Linked DNA regions of Saccharomyces cerevisiae S288C. The protein of the gene in region 2 interacts with the protein of the main gene of each other region in a biochemical or structural test. Each region holds a gene or a part of one and is shown on either strand. Other genes may lie near its edges.

What was found.
Region 1: the proteins of GLN1 (region 2) and HYR1 form a complex in vitro, tested with the Saccharomyces cerevisiae proteins (one study listed by BioGRID).

What each region holds. Positions count from the first base shown.
Region 1 is NC_001141.2:419,075-426,595, reverse strand, and holds HYR1 (peroxiredoxin HYR1), read right to left. Parts: upstream 3,469-7,521; coding exon 2,977-3,468; downstream 1-2,976. Other genes in the region: GTT1 (bifunctional glutathione transferase/peroxidase), read left to right, coding at 2,083-2,787; sepiapterin reductase family protein IRC24, read left to right, coding at 3,731-4,522; NRE1 (sepiapterin reductase family protein), read left to right, coding at 4,806-5,570; LYS1 (saccharopine dehydrogenase (NAD+, L-lysine-forming)), read left to right, coding at 5,860-6,981; MGA2 (Mga2p), read right to left, coding at 7,131-7,521. UniProt on the Saccharomyces cerevisiae protein: Involved in oxidative stress response and redox homeostasis. Functions as a sensor and transducer of hydroperoxide stress.
Region 2 is NC_001148.4:635,341-643,820, reverse strand, and holds GLN1 (glutamate--ammonia ligase), read right to left. Parts: upstream 1,614-8,480; coding exon 501-1,613; downstream 1-500. Other genes in the region: ARP7 (Arp7p), read right to left, coding at 2,863-4,296; HTS1 (histidine--tRNA ligase), read left to right, coding at 4,802-6,442; Rab GTPase-binding protein SRO7, read right to left, coding at 6,597-8,480.

The DNA.
Region 1 (7,521 bases), on a different chromosome or scaffold from region 2:
TGTACTTTTCTTTTTAAAATCGAATTATCAGCGATTATTCAGCCGGCTAAGAAGATGTTCTTATTGTTCTTATGCTTCAAAAATAAAGCATATCCAGGACTAATACATCCACTTCTACTTTAATAAGTACAAGTGCCATCTTTCTGTTGTAATACTTTCATCTCTTGTCTTGTTAGAATGAAGATCGGCAACGATCTACTGACTGGAGTTCGTGTTATTGGTATATTATAATATACTGTGTAGAGAACGATATAGAAAGTGAGAGACGGTCATCAGATTTAGTTGGAGCTGAAATTCAAGGATTGATAATGAAAAATGGAGAAAGAAATAATAATAACGTTATGTAAGAATATTGTACCTTGTTGTGGTTTCCCATACCCTCGAGCAGAACTTCTTACTCCCCCGTCTTTCTTGTCTATATATTTTTCTACTGCTATTGACATCATACCAACATATGGCGCTAATTTTTTCCTTGACCTTCAGTTTCCCCACATTCCTAAGTTCAATGTACTAGATAATTGAAAAGAGCCTTTGCATCTTCTGATATTCAGTAAAGCACGACCACGTATGGATTAAGGACTGGGCTCATTTCGCTAGTGCATGGGCAATTATGTTTTTAATCAGTGCTATGCACGATGACACGCGATAAGCTTCGCTTTTCTCAACCAATATATTTACTAAAGATTAATGCTCTTACCGCAGATTACACTGCATCGCTTCAATTATTCCTGAGAAGTATTAATAAGTACGCAGAATGGTTTTAGCCGTGTGTTCCTTCTCATATTGATTAAAGTAGAGCTAATCAGTAATACTTTCATACAGACAAGTGTCAGATAGAACCATCCAAGAATGAGTGGCTTAGTTAATTTTACAGCCGTGGTCAATACAATTAGAATATGGAGAATTTGCTTTGCTTACTGGTAGAAGATACGTAAGTAATCGCTAATATTATTACCATATATAACGAGAGGTTTACGGAAGCGACATTGTTGATTTGAATCATTGCAGCTACGGTCTAAGGCGGGAAGCTTAACCTCGGATTTGGTAGGTATAATATCGCAGATATTGTTCATGTCCAACGCCGGCCACTTATCGTACTAGAAGCTGTTTTCAATGAAGTGACCACCATTGTAATTACTACTGCAAGAAAAGTTATAGCCTACCATCCTGAGCAAATAAAGTTGCTTCCTGCTCAACTTTTTTTTTTCCTTGTATCATTTTATTTTTTTCTTGGCTCGCACTGCGCAGGTGACGGTAAAGAAAACAGGCCAGCTTTCACTTTCTATATATATTACTAGTGCAACCGTACTTATTCTCTTGTAAGGTTACCGTCTATTCATTCCGCTGCTGCTTCTAGTATCCTTAGAATCGTAATTGTTTACGAACAGTTTGTATTGAATCAGCTCCTCTCTTCTTTAGCCAAATACCGTCGGTAAAATGCAGTTCATGGGCACGGAGCAGTGCGTCATCGGTTCTATACGGTAACTTGACATTGCATGGATAAGATCTTTGATAGTAACATACATCTGGCTGGGGGAAATGCATGGCGTTCAGTTTCGGGGTTTGACCTTACTTTTTTGAAGAAGACTTTACTCAAGAGTGTAAGCTCCCTTGGGGGAGGACATATTACGGAAACAGGGTGTCCAAAAAACACCTATTGCGCTTATAACTAGTACATTGCTCAAATGAGGATTTTTACAAGGCTTAGCCCAGCCCGTCTTGTATTGACAAAGTTAAGCACCTCAAGCTCACACCAAAGTGGGCCCTAAGGGTGATCTGTATGCCAAGGCTAGCCTAATAGGAAAACCACCACCGGCAGTTACAACCTCCGTTAGCAACAGAGGGGGTGCCTCGCAATAGCCAAGGATAAGCCCCTCCTTGTTACTATGACAATCGCACTTTTCATGCTACGGCCATTTACTAATGATTTTCACCTCGTACCCGCTCGCTCCAGTATGGTGAAAATTTAGGGGAAGTGGATAACGTTGAAATACTATGGCAGAATCCTTATATATAAAACGATCGTTGATATTTTTTACAACAACCTAAAATGAGAGGGAAAAGGTAAATCAAGGAAGCATTATGTCGTTGCCAATTATCAAAGTCCATTGGTTGGACCATTCCAGAGCGTTCAGACTTTTGTGGTTATTAGACCATTTGAACCTTGAATATGAAATTGTCCCTTATAAAAGAGATGCTAACTTCCGTGCTCCACCAGAATTAAAGAAAATTCACCCATTAGGAAGATCTCCATTGTTAGAAGTTCAAGACAGAGAAACTGGTAAGAAGAAGATACTTGCCGAGTCCGGTTTCATCTTCCAATATGTCTTGCAGCATTTTGATCATTCACACGTTTTAATGAGCGAAGATGCTGATATTGCAGACCAGATTAACTATTATCTGTTTTATGTAGAAGGTTCCTTGCAACCACCTTTAATGATTGAGTTCATTCTTTCAAAGGTGAAGGATTCTGGTATGCCCTTCCCTATTTCGTACTTGGCAAGAAAAGTGGCAGACAAGATCAGTCAGGCATACTCTAGTGGTGAAGTTAAGAACCAGTTCGACTTTGTGGAGGGTGAAATTTCCAAAAATAACGGCTACCTGGTTGATGGGAAGTTGAGCGGTGCCGATATCTTGATGTCTTTCCCTTTGCAGATGGCGTTTGAAAGAAAGTTTGCCGCACCAGAGGATTATCCTGCCATTTCCAAATGGTTAAAGACCATAACCTCAGAGGAGTCGTATGCTGCTTCTAAGGAAAAGGCGCGTGCTTTAGGTAGCAATTTCTAAACCGTTTTGTTGCGTTCGTACGGCACTAGCAGCCGCGTAATTCGTTCACACACTTCAATACATATGTATGTATACGTATATAGTCTGTTGCGACACATAATAATTGACAGGTTTGACTAGCGAGTATGTATTATCAGGAAATATAAAAGAAAACTAAGCTTTACCTAACTTCAAAAGAAGAAGACCTGCCTATTCCACCTCTTTCAAAAGTTCTTCGATGGTTTCGGACAACGAAGAAGGTTTGGTTAGTGAAGAGTATCTTTCGTACACTTTACCCTTTTTATCGACTAAGAATTTTTCAAAATTCCATTTGATACCTCTCAAGCCCAACATACCGGATTTTTGGCTCTTCAAAAACTTGTAAACAGGGTCCTCATTGCCACCATTAACGTCAATTTTTTTCATAATGGGGAAAGTCACGCCATAGTTCAGTTGGCAGAACTGGGCAATTTCTTCATCAGAGCCAGGTTCTTGGTGGCCAAACTGGTTGCATGGGAACCCGATGATGGTAAATCCTTCGTCCTTATAACGTTTGTACAAGGCCTCTAGTTCTTTGTATTGAGGAGTGAATCCACATTTGGAGGCAACATTAACGATAAGCACCACTTTTCCCTTTAATTGGTCGAAGGGGAATGGTTGGCCTTTCTTGTCAACAGGTGCTAGCTTATAGAATTCTGACATGATAAACTTGAATACTTTACGAGATGACAGCTTGGAAGAGAGAGACGTGGAAAGCTCTGATGCTGTTTTTATTACTATTGCTTTTCCGATATTAAGGGAGCATACTGTTCCTCATGGTTTTTTCCCTCTTTTTTTCACTTTTTGACCTTTTTCGTAAAGTGGCTAAAAACGATAATGCAGAAAAAGAAGAAGGAATACAGGAAATAAGGGCTGTCGCGAACAGCAACAAGAGAAACAACTTATAATCTGTCAAAGAAGGGATATGGGCAAGGTTATTTTGATTACAGGTGCCTCCCGTGGGATTGGCCTGCAATTGGTGAAAACTGTTATCGAAGAGGACGATGAATGCATCGTCTACGGCGTAGCAAGAACGGAAGCTGGTCTGCAGTCTTTGCAAAGAGAATACGGTGCAGACAAATTTGTCTATCGTGTCCTCGACATCACGGACAGGTCTCGAATGGAAGCGTTGGTGGAGGAAATCCGGCAAAAGCATGGAAAACTGGACGGTATTGTCGCAAATGCGGGGATGCTAGAACCGGTGAAGTCCATCTCCCAGTCCAACTCCGAACACGACATCAAGCAGTGGGAACGGCTGTTCGATGTGAACTTTTTCAGCATTGTCTCTTTGGTGGCACTGTGTTTACCCCTCTTGAAGAGCTCGCCATTTGTAGGCAACATTGTCTTCGTCAGCTCTGGAGCCAGTGTGAAACCATATAACGGATGGTCGGCGTACGGCTGCTCGAAAGCCGCATTAAACCACTTTGCCATGGACATTGCCAGTGAAGAGCCCAGTGATAAAGTGCGTGCCGTGTGTATTGCACCGGGCGTCGTTGACACGCAGATGCAGAAAGATATTAGGGAAACATTGGGTCCTCAGGGCATGACACCCAAGGCTCTCGAGAGGTTTACTCAATTGTACAAGACTTCGTCACTGCTGGACCCAAAGGTGCCTGCGGCGGTACTAGCGCAACTCGTCCTGAAAGGTATTCCCGACTCTTTGAACGGTCAATATCTCCGCTACAACGATGAGCGACTGGGGCCGGTGCAGGGCTAGTACTAAACTATATTATGTAAAAGGGTATAGTTATAGTTTTTAGCTACTAAACTTTTATTGGGTTTGCGATGAGCGACAGTTTTGTGCGGCCATTTCTGTGCCAAGAACCGGATTGAATGTATCACCGAAGGAATTCCGCGGTGTTTTCAAAGAAATGAAGAGAAGACAGTATGAACATTAACTTTTGCATATATATACGTAAACGAAAAAGATCAAGTGCAATGGAAGAATATTGTACCTAAAAAAAAGGGTCTAACTACAGCGTGTAACAGGTTAAAAAAACATGGGTAAAGTTATTTTAGTTACAGGTGTTTCCAGAGGTATCGGTAAGTCCATCGTGGATGTTCTTTTCAGTTTGGACAAGGACACGGTTGTTTACGGTGTAGCCAGGTCTGAGGCACCCTTGAAGAAGTTGAAAGAGAAGTATGGCGACAGGTTTTTTTACGTTGTCGGTGATATTACCGAGGATTCCGTGTTGAAGCAGTTGGTTAACGCTGCTGTTAAGGGCCACGGCAAGATCGACTCCTTGGTTGCCAACGCTGGTGTCCTAGAGCCCGTGCAAAATGTCAACGAGATTGATGTCAACGCTTGGAAGAAGCTGTATGACATCAACTTCTTCAGCATTGTTTCCTTGGTTGGCATTGCGTTACCTGAATTGAAGAAGACCAACGGTAACGTGGTATTCGTCAGTTCGGACGCCTGTAACATGTACTTCAGCAGTTGGGGAGCTTACGGTTCTTCAAAAGCCGCTCTGAACCACTTCGCCATGACTCTGGCCAACGAGGAAAGGCAAGTGAAAGCCATTGCCGTCGCCCCAGGTATTGTGGACACAGATATGCAAGTTAACATTAGGGAGAACGTGGGGCCTTCCTCCATGAGTGCAGAGCAATTGAAGATGTTTAGAGGTTTAAAGGAGAATAACCAGTTGCTGGATAGCTCTGTGCCAGCTACAGTTTATGCCAAATTGGCCCTTCATGGTATTCCTGACGGTGTTAATGGACAGTACTTGAGCTATAATGACCCTGCCTTGGCGGACTTTATGCCTTGAGGATAGCAGGTACATATAAATTGTTACATACTAAGTCGATGAGTCAAAAAAGACTCTTATACATTTATACATTTTGCATTATTATTTTTTTTTTCCAGCGGAATTTGGAATTCCGCTCTCAACCGCCAAAATTCCCCTGCGATTTCAGCGACAAAGAGTCATAAAGTCATCCTCGAGAAACCACGATGAAATATATAAAAAGCCCATCTTCCCTGACGGAAACTGGTATTTTAGGAGGCATACCATAAGATAACAACGAAAACGCTTTATTTTTCACACAACCGCAAAAATGGCTGCCGTCACATTACATCTAAGAGCTGAAACTAAACCCCTAGAGGCACGTGCTGCCTTAACACCTACCACGGTTAAAAAACTGATAGCTAAGGGCTTCAAAATATATGTAGAGGACAGTCCACAATCTACTTTCAATATTAACGAATATCGTCAAGCAGGTGCCATTATAGTGCCTGCAGGTTCATGGAAAACCGCTCCACGCGACAGAATCATTATAGGTTTGAAGGAAATGCCTGAAACCGATACTTTCCCTCTAGTCCACGAACACATCCAGTTTGCTCACTGCTACAAAGACCAAGCTGGGTGGCAAAATGTCCTTATGAGATTTATTAAGGGACACGGTACTCTATATGATTTGGAATTTTTGGAAAATGACCAAGGTAGAAGAGTTGCTGCCTTTGGATTTTACGCTGGGTTCGCAGGTGCAGCCCTTGGTGTAAGAGACTGGGCATTCAAGCAAACGCATTCTGACGATGAAGACTTGCCTGCAGTGTCGCCTTACCCCAATGAAAAGGCATTGGTTAAAGATGTTACCAAAGATTATAAAGAAGCCTTAGCCACCGGAGCCAGAAAGCCAACCGTGTTAATCATTGGTGCGCTAGGAAGATGTGGTTCCGGTGCCATCGATCTGTTGCACAAAGTTGGTATTCCAGATGCTAACATATTAAAATGGGATATCAAAGAAACTTCCCGTGGTGGTCCCTTTGACGAAATTCCACAAGCTGATATTTTTATCAATTGTATATATCTATCGAAGCCAATTGCTCCTTTCACTAACATGGAGAAACTGAATAATCCTAACAGAAGACTAAGGACCGTGGTGGACGTATCAGCAGACACTACCAACCCTCACAACCCCATCCCAATATACACTGTGGCTACTGTGTTTAACAAACCTACCGTTCTGGTACCTACCACTGCCGGGCCTAAATTATCTGTCATCTCTATTGATCACTTGCCTTCTTTGCTGCCAAGAGAAGCTTCAGAATTTTTCTCTCATGATCTCTTACCATCTTTAGAGCTCCTACCTCAAAGAAAAACTGCTCCTGTCTGGGTTAGAGCCAAGAAATTGTTCGATAGACATTGCGCTCGTGTTAAAAGATCTTCAAGATTGTAGTTTACATTTAAAGTATATACATTATCGTTACGCTGACATTTACAAGTTTAATTTTTTTTTGACTTTTTTTAAATGACTTTCTCTTCTTTTAAGTGTACTGTCTTTTCATTATACACACATATATATATATATATACGTAAAAAAGCAGACTAACTGACAATTAAATCGTTCAACATTCTTGTTGTTTGCAGGTTTGATAATTTTGACCTGAATGCAGTTTTCATCCTTTCATTTCCCAGCAAGAACTTTGCTAATGCAATTCTCAAGTACTCTGAGATTAATTCGCTTATATGATTGATGGAACTATCTTGGTTGCCAAATTTGTACATGATGAACCATGTCAAAAGTAGTAGTGTTAAGGGTATCCAGAAAAATATTAACATTTTATCATTTCGGAAGTTTTGTTTGTTTTGGAAGAATCTGTTAAACTGTTTTTTCAAAAATTCTTCCTCTTCCTCATAATCCTCTTCCTCCGAATTTTCAGAGTTTTCAATATTAGATGCTGACTGCTCCACAATACTGTCTTGATTTGTGGTTTTC
Region 2 (8,480 bases):
CAGTGCACTTTTATATCTCTTGTCTTTGAATTATTGCAGGCATTCTTTTATCAGGAAAACAGTCATATACAATACTTTTTTTTTTTTTCATTATCAAACCTTTTTTTTTTTCCTGGTCTGGTTTGGGAAGAAAAAGCTCTCCCCCTCGTGTAATTATGCACGGGTAGGTAGGGTAATGGCATGAGGAAAACAATAGAAAATTATTTTAGAGCAATATACAACACAGCGTCGCTTTGCAGAAAAAAAAAAAGAAAAAATTCGACTGTCGCAGCCTCTTATTTTATGTCATTACAGTTAATTTATTAGAAATTAATTTTATAAATTTTGATTTTTTCTCATGCCTGTTTTTGATCGTGAGATGGGAAATTTTTTATGTAAAAAAGTAATGTAATATAGTAGTAAAATAAATAAATAAATCATTAATATTTCCTGTGCATTATTGTTAGTTTATTAGTAGATTAGTTCCTGCCTAAAAAAAATTTTGCACCATTGTATTATGCTTATGAAGATTCTCTTTCAAATTCCTTCGTCATGTCAGCATTGTCAATAGCACCGCAAACAGTTTCACACATGATACCTGTAACCAAGTATGGGTCGATGTTGGAAGCTGGTCTACGGTCTTCAAAGTAACCGTAACCTTCCTTGGCGACGGATCTTGGGATTCTAATTGAGCTACCTCTGTTGGCGACACCAGAAGAAAAGGCAGTCATGGAAGCGGTTTCATGTCTACCAGTTAATCTCATGTCGTTATCGCTACCGTACAACTTAATGTGTTCAGCGTGTCTCTTGGATAACTTCTCGATGGCTTGTTCGATGTATTTCATACCACCTGGTTGTCTCATTTCCTTGGTGGAAACGTTAGTGTGACAACCGGCACCGTTCCAGTCACCCTTCAATGGCTTTGGATGGAATGAGATCTTGATACCAAACTCTTCTGCCACTCTGTGCAAAAAGTATCTGGCCATCCATAATTGGTCACCCATGTCAATACCGGTACATGGACCGACTTGGAATTCCCATTGAGATGGCATGACTTCAGCGTTAATACCAGAAATTTCTAATCCGGCATACAAACAAGCTCTGTAGTGAGCTTCGATCATGTCTCTGGCATAAACCTTACCGGCACCAACACCACAGTAGTAAGGACCTTGTGGAGCTGGGTACCCACCCTTTGGCCATCCGTAAACATCGTCATACATGTCAAATAGAGTGTATTCTTGTTCTAGACCAAACCAGATTTCTTCATCCTTATGAGCAGCAAATAGCTTGGCAGCTTCGTGTCTGTGGTTGAACTTGTTTGGAGTACCGTCATTGTTGTAACATGCGGCCAAGACAACAATGTTGTCACCTCTCCTGAAGGGATCTGGGTAGTAAGCAACGGGTTTCAAATAGATGTCAGAGTCGTGGCCTGGCGCTTGGTTGGTAGAAGAACCGTCGAAGTTCCATTCTGGCAATTGGTCAATGGATGTGATTCTCTTCTTCAAAGTTCTACCTTTGGAACGTAAGTTACCAGTACCATCGATCCAAACGTATTCGGCAATTATTCTACCTCTTTGGTCCAGTTCTAGATATTTTTGTAAAATTTGAGTCTTTTCGATGCTTGCTTCAGCCATTTTTGATTATATTATATTATATTATGTTTAATTTTTGTTTCGGTTGAACTTCTTCTATAAATGAAATGAAGTTAATTTCTCACAAATATGTATGTGATTCTATAGTTATCTTTGTGTGATGTTCTTACCTAACGAAAACAAAGACAGAACAACCTACGAACCAACCAAGCCTGAGAATTCGATATATAGAATCACTCCCTTATATATTACAAAAAAAGAAATCTACAAACTAAAATAAAAACATGGCAAACAATATGCGTCGGAGTCATCTTTAATTCATTATCAAGCCTACTACTTACACCTGACCGCTTACACTAACAAATGAATTAATTTTTCACTCTTTTTTCATATTACTTTTCTTTTTTTCATCCTACTTTTTCTTTTTTTGTTTGTGTTTCGCTACACAGGACATCAATGCGGCATATCAGCCTACTCTCCTGCCAAAAATAGTGTACTATTTTCGCATATTTGGGGAATAATAATGACCACAAATGGCACTATGATGCGAAAAAAATTTTCGATAAAACACCGTCTGGCATCGTCTGTGCGGACCAACTGCTGTAGAAGACTTTTTTTTTTCTGCCTTCGCGAGCTTATCTTATCTATTAGGGGAGCGCAGTCATCAATTGTAAACAAACGTGCGAAGCGATCCGTAGTCCTATCCGGGTAACACTCATCGTCCGGCCTCCGCCCCCTTTTCCCCGGGAGAACCGTATGCGGGTACTGGGTTTAGGGGATCCTTGTTTTGGTTCTCGCGAGTGTTTTTCCGATTGCGAGATTTTATTTTCCCTTTCGCATCATCCGGACGAGCCAAAAGCGCCATTGTTCCGGCCGCACGTGCAGCGCATGTGTACTTGCGCACTTTTGTTTACTATTGTCCTGACAAACTGATTACCAAATGTCTTTGAACAGGTGGGACAAAGAGAGACAAAAAAGCGGCTATCATGTAGCTGGGACGATATTCCGCCGCCGGGTAGCGCATATTGAAAAATGGCTGTTTACAGTGGGCCTCACTAGCTTAGAGTTCATCTCTATATAACTATTTATACAGTTTTTTTATATTAGAATGGGTTCATCGAGTTATCGCGTTTGTTTATATGTCCCTCACTCAAAGTAGGGGGTGGACTGAATCTTGAAGGAAACCCGCTTACTCCTTACTGATAGCTACTACCGGCGCTGAGAAAAATGGGTCGAGATCTCATCTCCTTCTAGCCGCCTACAATCCCTTTTGGATATTTGCGCCTTACCACTAGTTTGTTGCGTTCGTAGCCTGCGACTGCTTTCTGTCTCTTTTCAGCGTTTCGTAATCTTCCTTAGAGTACCATTTTCCCAAGCTCCATGATGGCAGATTGGCCATTGTAAGGGCGCCCAGCCATCCCTGGATTTTACGGTCCATCATGACTTGGTTGGCAAAAGTTGTCAATTTGTATTGCGGGAACCTGATTGACAGCTCCTTTATTATGCGTTGCTCCATACCTTCGATCAGAGAGGTAGATCCTGTGATGATGACGTTCGTCAACAGTAGCGAGTATACTTGTTCTGGTGATATGTTGCTGCTGCTGGCAGTACTGTTATTATCGCCAACATTGGTGTTTATATGGCTTGTACCCAATCCGTTTGGGTTGGTGGAGGTATTGGCCTTCATTGAATTTATACTAGCGCCGGCCTTCTTGACTGATTTTGCCATTAGCGGTCCCAGTCCGTCCTCTGGTGAGAATTTGTCTGATATCAGTTGAGGTTTGAAGAGATACTCTGCGAATTGGTAGCACTCCTTAAGGTCCAAGGTTAAAGTCTTGTTTAATGGCTTGAATAGAAAATTTTTCTTTTGAACCAACGGATTGTTGGGGCTTCCCGTTAACGCCGTGTACTGAAGTTGCTGATCCATTTGTTTTAACTGCTCCTGTTGCTTAGCGTATATATCTGCTTGCTCTTTGTAATACCTTTCCAACTCAAACAAGTCCTTTTCGCTTACTTGCAACATAGTAGACTTGAATTGCTGAATCCACGTGCTTGCTTCGTACCAAACGTCGGTGGACCTTTTTTGCTCGTCGGCCATGTTTTCCATGTCGTTCTCTTCTTTAATCAGTGGAGCCAACCTTTCGTGTACTTGAAAATCCAAGAAATCACCGCCAAATTTAGATCTCACTACAGCATTCTTCACCACAATACCGTCAATGATGGGAGTAACGTTACAGCCTGACGCGCCGATATCAATCACGAATGCAGAACTCTTGCCCATGGATAGGGCAATTGCCAATGGCTCGATTACAATCTGGAATACTGGTACATTTAATTTGTCGAACGCCAGCTCATAGTAGCGCTCTAATATGGCCATGTCCGGTTTACCATTGGTGGCAGGCATCGTAATCACCAGTGGCAGTTCCTCGGGTGAAACTTTCAATTGGGTGTCGTACAGATATCTCCACTGCATCTCCAATGCGTCCCAATTGTACGGTAACCCTTGGCTATCTACCAATGTATACACCTCGTCACCATTGCGTTTTTCTGCCGCAGCGTCTATCATATTGTAGGTTCCGAATATAAACTCAGCTTCCCCCCCCTCATCTGTTCTTTTAATATAGCTAGAGGGTATAATGCATTGTGGCAATTCAACGTTACTAAATCCAGCCACCGTTCTGTGCGATCCGTTATGTATCACTACGCACTTCCTATTCAATGTCATTCTTGACAGATCCTTTATAATGTAGTAATTCTCGCGCTTTTGCTAATAGCCTACTACTCTGTTCTATCTCTCTTGTTTACCATTTTCCGCTTTGTTTTCTTGTTTGAGGTTTGCTTTATTTTTTCTTTATTTTCTTCGAAACGCGGCCATCATTTTTTTTTTTCAGGATCACTCAAGGTGAACAAGTCTAAGTATTGAAAGGTGTGAAGACTTGCCGATGATATACTTATATGAACGCCGTGATGCGTACGTCTTTGATGGAAATATTGTATATATCTCTTTCTTTCCTTATAATCACTGTTCTCTCTTGTGTAATAAGTAAATCTATTCGTTTCCGTGTAAGGCGATAATTTTTTTGTTTGAAATTTTTTATCAAGTTTTTTTTTTTCTTCAATTCTAACCAGCTCGAAGATGACTTATGGCCTTGATCGACCGGGCTTTTAAATGAGTCTTACGGCCCAATGTGTTACTTTAGAATAGTTCCTTTCTGCTCGTCTCTTGCTTAATGCTTAGTAGATCACTAAATAAAGTAGTCACATCTATAAAGTCGTCTTCGATAATCAGGATGTCATCCGCTACCGCTGCTGCTACTTCTGCTCCTACTGCTAATGCTGCTAATGCTCTAAAAGCTTCAAAGGCTCCAAAGAAAGGTAAACTACAAGTGTCTTTGAAAACACCTAAGGGTACGAAGGATTGGGCTGATAGTGATATGGTTATCAGAGAAGCCATTTTTAGCACTTTATCTGGCCTATTCAAGAAGCATGGTGGTGTCACTATCGACACACCTGTTTTCGAGTTAAGAGAAATTTTAGCAGGCAAGTATGGTGAGGACTCCAAACTGATCTACAACTTGGAGGACCAGGGTGGTGAATTATGTTCTTTACGTTACGATTTGACCGTTCCTTTTGCCAGGTACGTTGCCATGAACAATATTCAGAGTATCAAGAGGTATCACATTGCAAAAGTCTACAGAAGAGACCAACCAGCCATGACTAAGGGTCGTATGAGAGAATTTTACCAGTGTGATTTTGACGTTGCAGGCACATTCGAATCTATGGTTCCTGATTCCGAATGTTTGTCCATTTTAGTGGAAGGTTTGACCAGTTTGGGAATCAAAGATTTCAAAATCAAATTGAATCACAGGAAGATTCTTGATGGGATCTTCCAAATCGCTGGTGTTAAAGATGAGGATGTGAGGAAAATCTCTTCTGCTGTCGATAAGTTGGACAAATCTCCATGGGAAGCAGTCAAGAAGGAAATGACCGAAGAAAAAGGTCAATCCGAAGAAACTGCTGATAAAATCGGTGAGTATGTTAAATTAAATGGTTCTTTGAAGGAAATTCACGCTGTTCTATCCGCAGATGCCAACATTACTTCAAACGAAAAGGCTAAACAAGGTTTGGATGATATTGCTACTTTGATGAAGTATACCGAAGCATTTGACATTGACTCATTCATCTCTTTTGATCTTTCTCTTGCAAGAGGTTTGGATTACTATACAGGTTTGATCTATGAAGTTGTTACTTCTGCATCTGCTCCACCAGAGAATGCTTCAGAATTGAAGAAGAAGGCCAAATCTGCAGAAGACGCGTCAGAATTCGTTGGTGTCGGCTCTATTGCAGCCGGTGGTCGATATGATAATTTGGTCAACATGTTCTCTGAAGCTTCCGGCAAAAAATCTACTCAAATTCCATGTGTTGGTATTTCATTTGGTGTTGAAAGAATATTTTCTTTGATCAAACAAAGAATTAATTCCTCTACAACTATAAAGCCAACGGCTACACAGGTGTTCGTTATGGCTTTTGGTGGTGGTAAGGACTGGACTGGTTATTTACCCGAAAGAATGAAGGTTACTAAGCAATTATGGGATGCTGGCATTGAAGCTGAATATGTCTATAAGGCCAAGGCTAATCCTAGGAAGCAATTCGATGCTGCTGAAAAAGCGGGTTGTCACATTGCCGTAATCCTCGGTAAGGAGGAGTACTTAGAAGGTAAATTACGTGTCAAAAGATTGGGCCAAGAATTTGCCGATGATGATGGTGAATTGGTTAGTGCGGCTGACATTGTTCCTATTGTTCAAGAAAAGTTATCACAAATTCATGAAGATGGTCTAAATGAGGTCACTCGTTTAATTAAAGGATTATAAACTTGATAGCTCATGTATTTACAAACCTTCGTAAAACTAGACATGTATAATGAAAAATAAATCGATTCAAATTAATTTATAAAGCATATAGAACTAAAAAAAAATAAGTATAGAAGGAAGTTGCTCATTACCCTGTATGAATTAGTGTATGTATTTAAAAACCAAGGGCACCTTTCATTACATCTTTTCCAGTCTGCTCAACAGCCTCGTTCATTGTTTCTCCCATGGCGGTAGCATAGTCGTTGAATCTATCTTCAACGGCGTCCCATCTAGTTTCTACAGCTCGAGAAACATTTCTTAGTACCCCGTAACTACTGTTCCTGCCCTTACGGGTGGGCTTGGTATACTGGTGTTCCGGATGGTTCGCATTATTATCGTCTGAAGAACGCTCCGAGAAACTTCCCTCAGCAATGATGCTCTCTTTGTATTTGGATGCAGGTCTATTCACGCCACCCAATAATTCATTTAATTGAGCGGGAGTACAATATACAGTGCCTCTTGCCCACTGTAATGAATTTACTTGTGGCCTATAGGGAATCCTGATTCCATTGATGTACAGTGTGTCAGAAACTGGCGCTAGCGTATCCTGTTCCTTGACAGTAGAAAATAGTGACGCCTGAAATTCACTCACTCGAATCGCTATATCACCATTTCTTAAAACAGATGATTCTGTAATGTATTTTGCGGCAATTGGAAATGGAATATGTTCAGACATTTGTTCTTTGAAATCTGGAATAGTAAAAACTCTTAGATGGCCATTGATTTCTAATGTAATTATTACGGTTAGGTTCTTCCTATCATTATTTTTCTCAACGGTTGAGATGTAAGATAAACCTGTCGCGGCAAGCGGGTATTTGAAACCTTTATGTGTACTTTTAGATTTGCCCAGTGTTATTAATCTGATATCATCGAATCCAGTTATTAATACAATACCAGGAATGCAAAGGCCTTTACTTAAATTCTGCATTTTTGGAATAGTTGCCAAGCAGCTAGATTTTGTTTCCTTTGAAAATGCATCAATTTTGTGTATCGGACCCTTACTGGTAACATTAGTAATATCCATTAGTTGCACATCGAACTTTCCACCTGATGCAGGAAGAATTTTGTATGTGATTACCTCGCCCATATCAGTACCACAGACCATCAATATACTAGAGTAACCATCGTCTCCATACTCCATAATTACGAATTCGATGCAGGTAACACATGCGCTTTGAGCTCCCGAGATTTCTCTAATGTTTTCCATGTAAATGATTGCAGGACCTCTTCTATCGATCAACATAAGGCTTCCGGCAGCATATGCGATTCCAACAAATCCAATATTACTGTTGTTGATTGCAGATGTTTTCCCTTTGTTGGCATGCACGGCAGTTGATGGCATAAATCCCTGCCTAACACCGGTAGGTGCCCTGTCTCTCACATCGACGAGAACACCATTCGTATTATTCAAAGAAAACCGCCTGAAATTCATCTCCAGGTCACCGCTTTCTGGTCTGTTCTCAACACTGTAAAACTGGTTTACTTCATATTTGAATAAAACAACGTCTCCTGTTTCAATTGACACCGCCAACTCGAGAGTCTCTGCGGCAAAAGATATCTTATCAACTGCTAGTTCTTTGGCCTTGTTCAACGTTCTTGATAGATTCACTTCAAAGCTAGCATTATCTTGTATATCCCCATGGGAAGCATCGTATATCCTAACTGAGCCATTAGAATGGCCGGTAATGAATGCTGTACCGTACTCAGCGGGAAGTTTTTGCCTTTTTGTTCTAACCCCTCCCTTCAACAAATAATCCTTGTTTTGAGCTGCAGAAAGCGCACCAAGCCATAATTTGTTTGGTACAGAAGCGGCCATTGAAGTCGTGGCTAATGGTCTCAGCCAGGAAAGATTTTGAGGGAATAAAGAGGCTTTATCTGTAAATATTCCAGAAGGATATAGCATTGTTTCTATCTCACCGTTACCTAGGATTAACAAAATTAACCCCGGATTATGACATCCTGCAAAATACGGGGACTGTCTTGGAATTGGTAGTATATT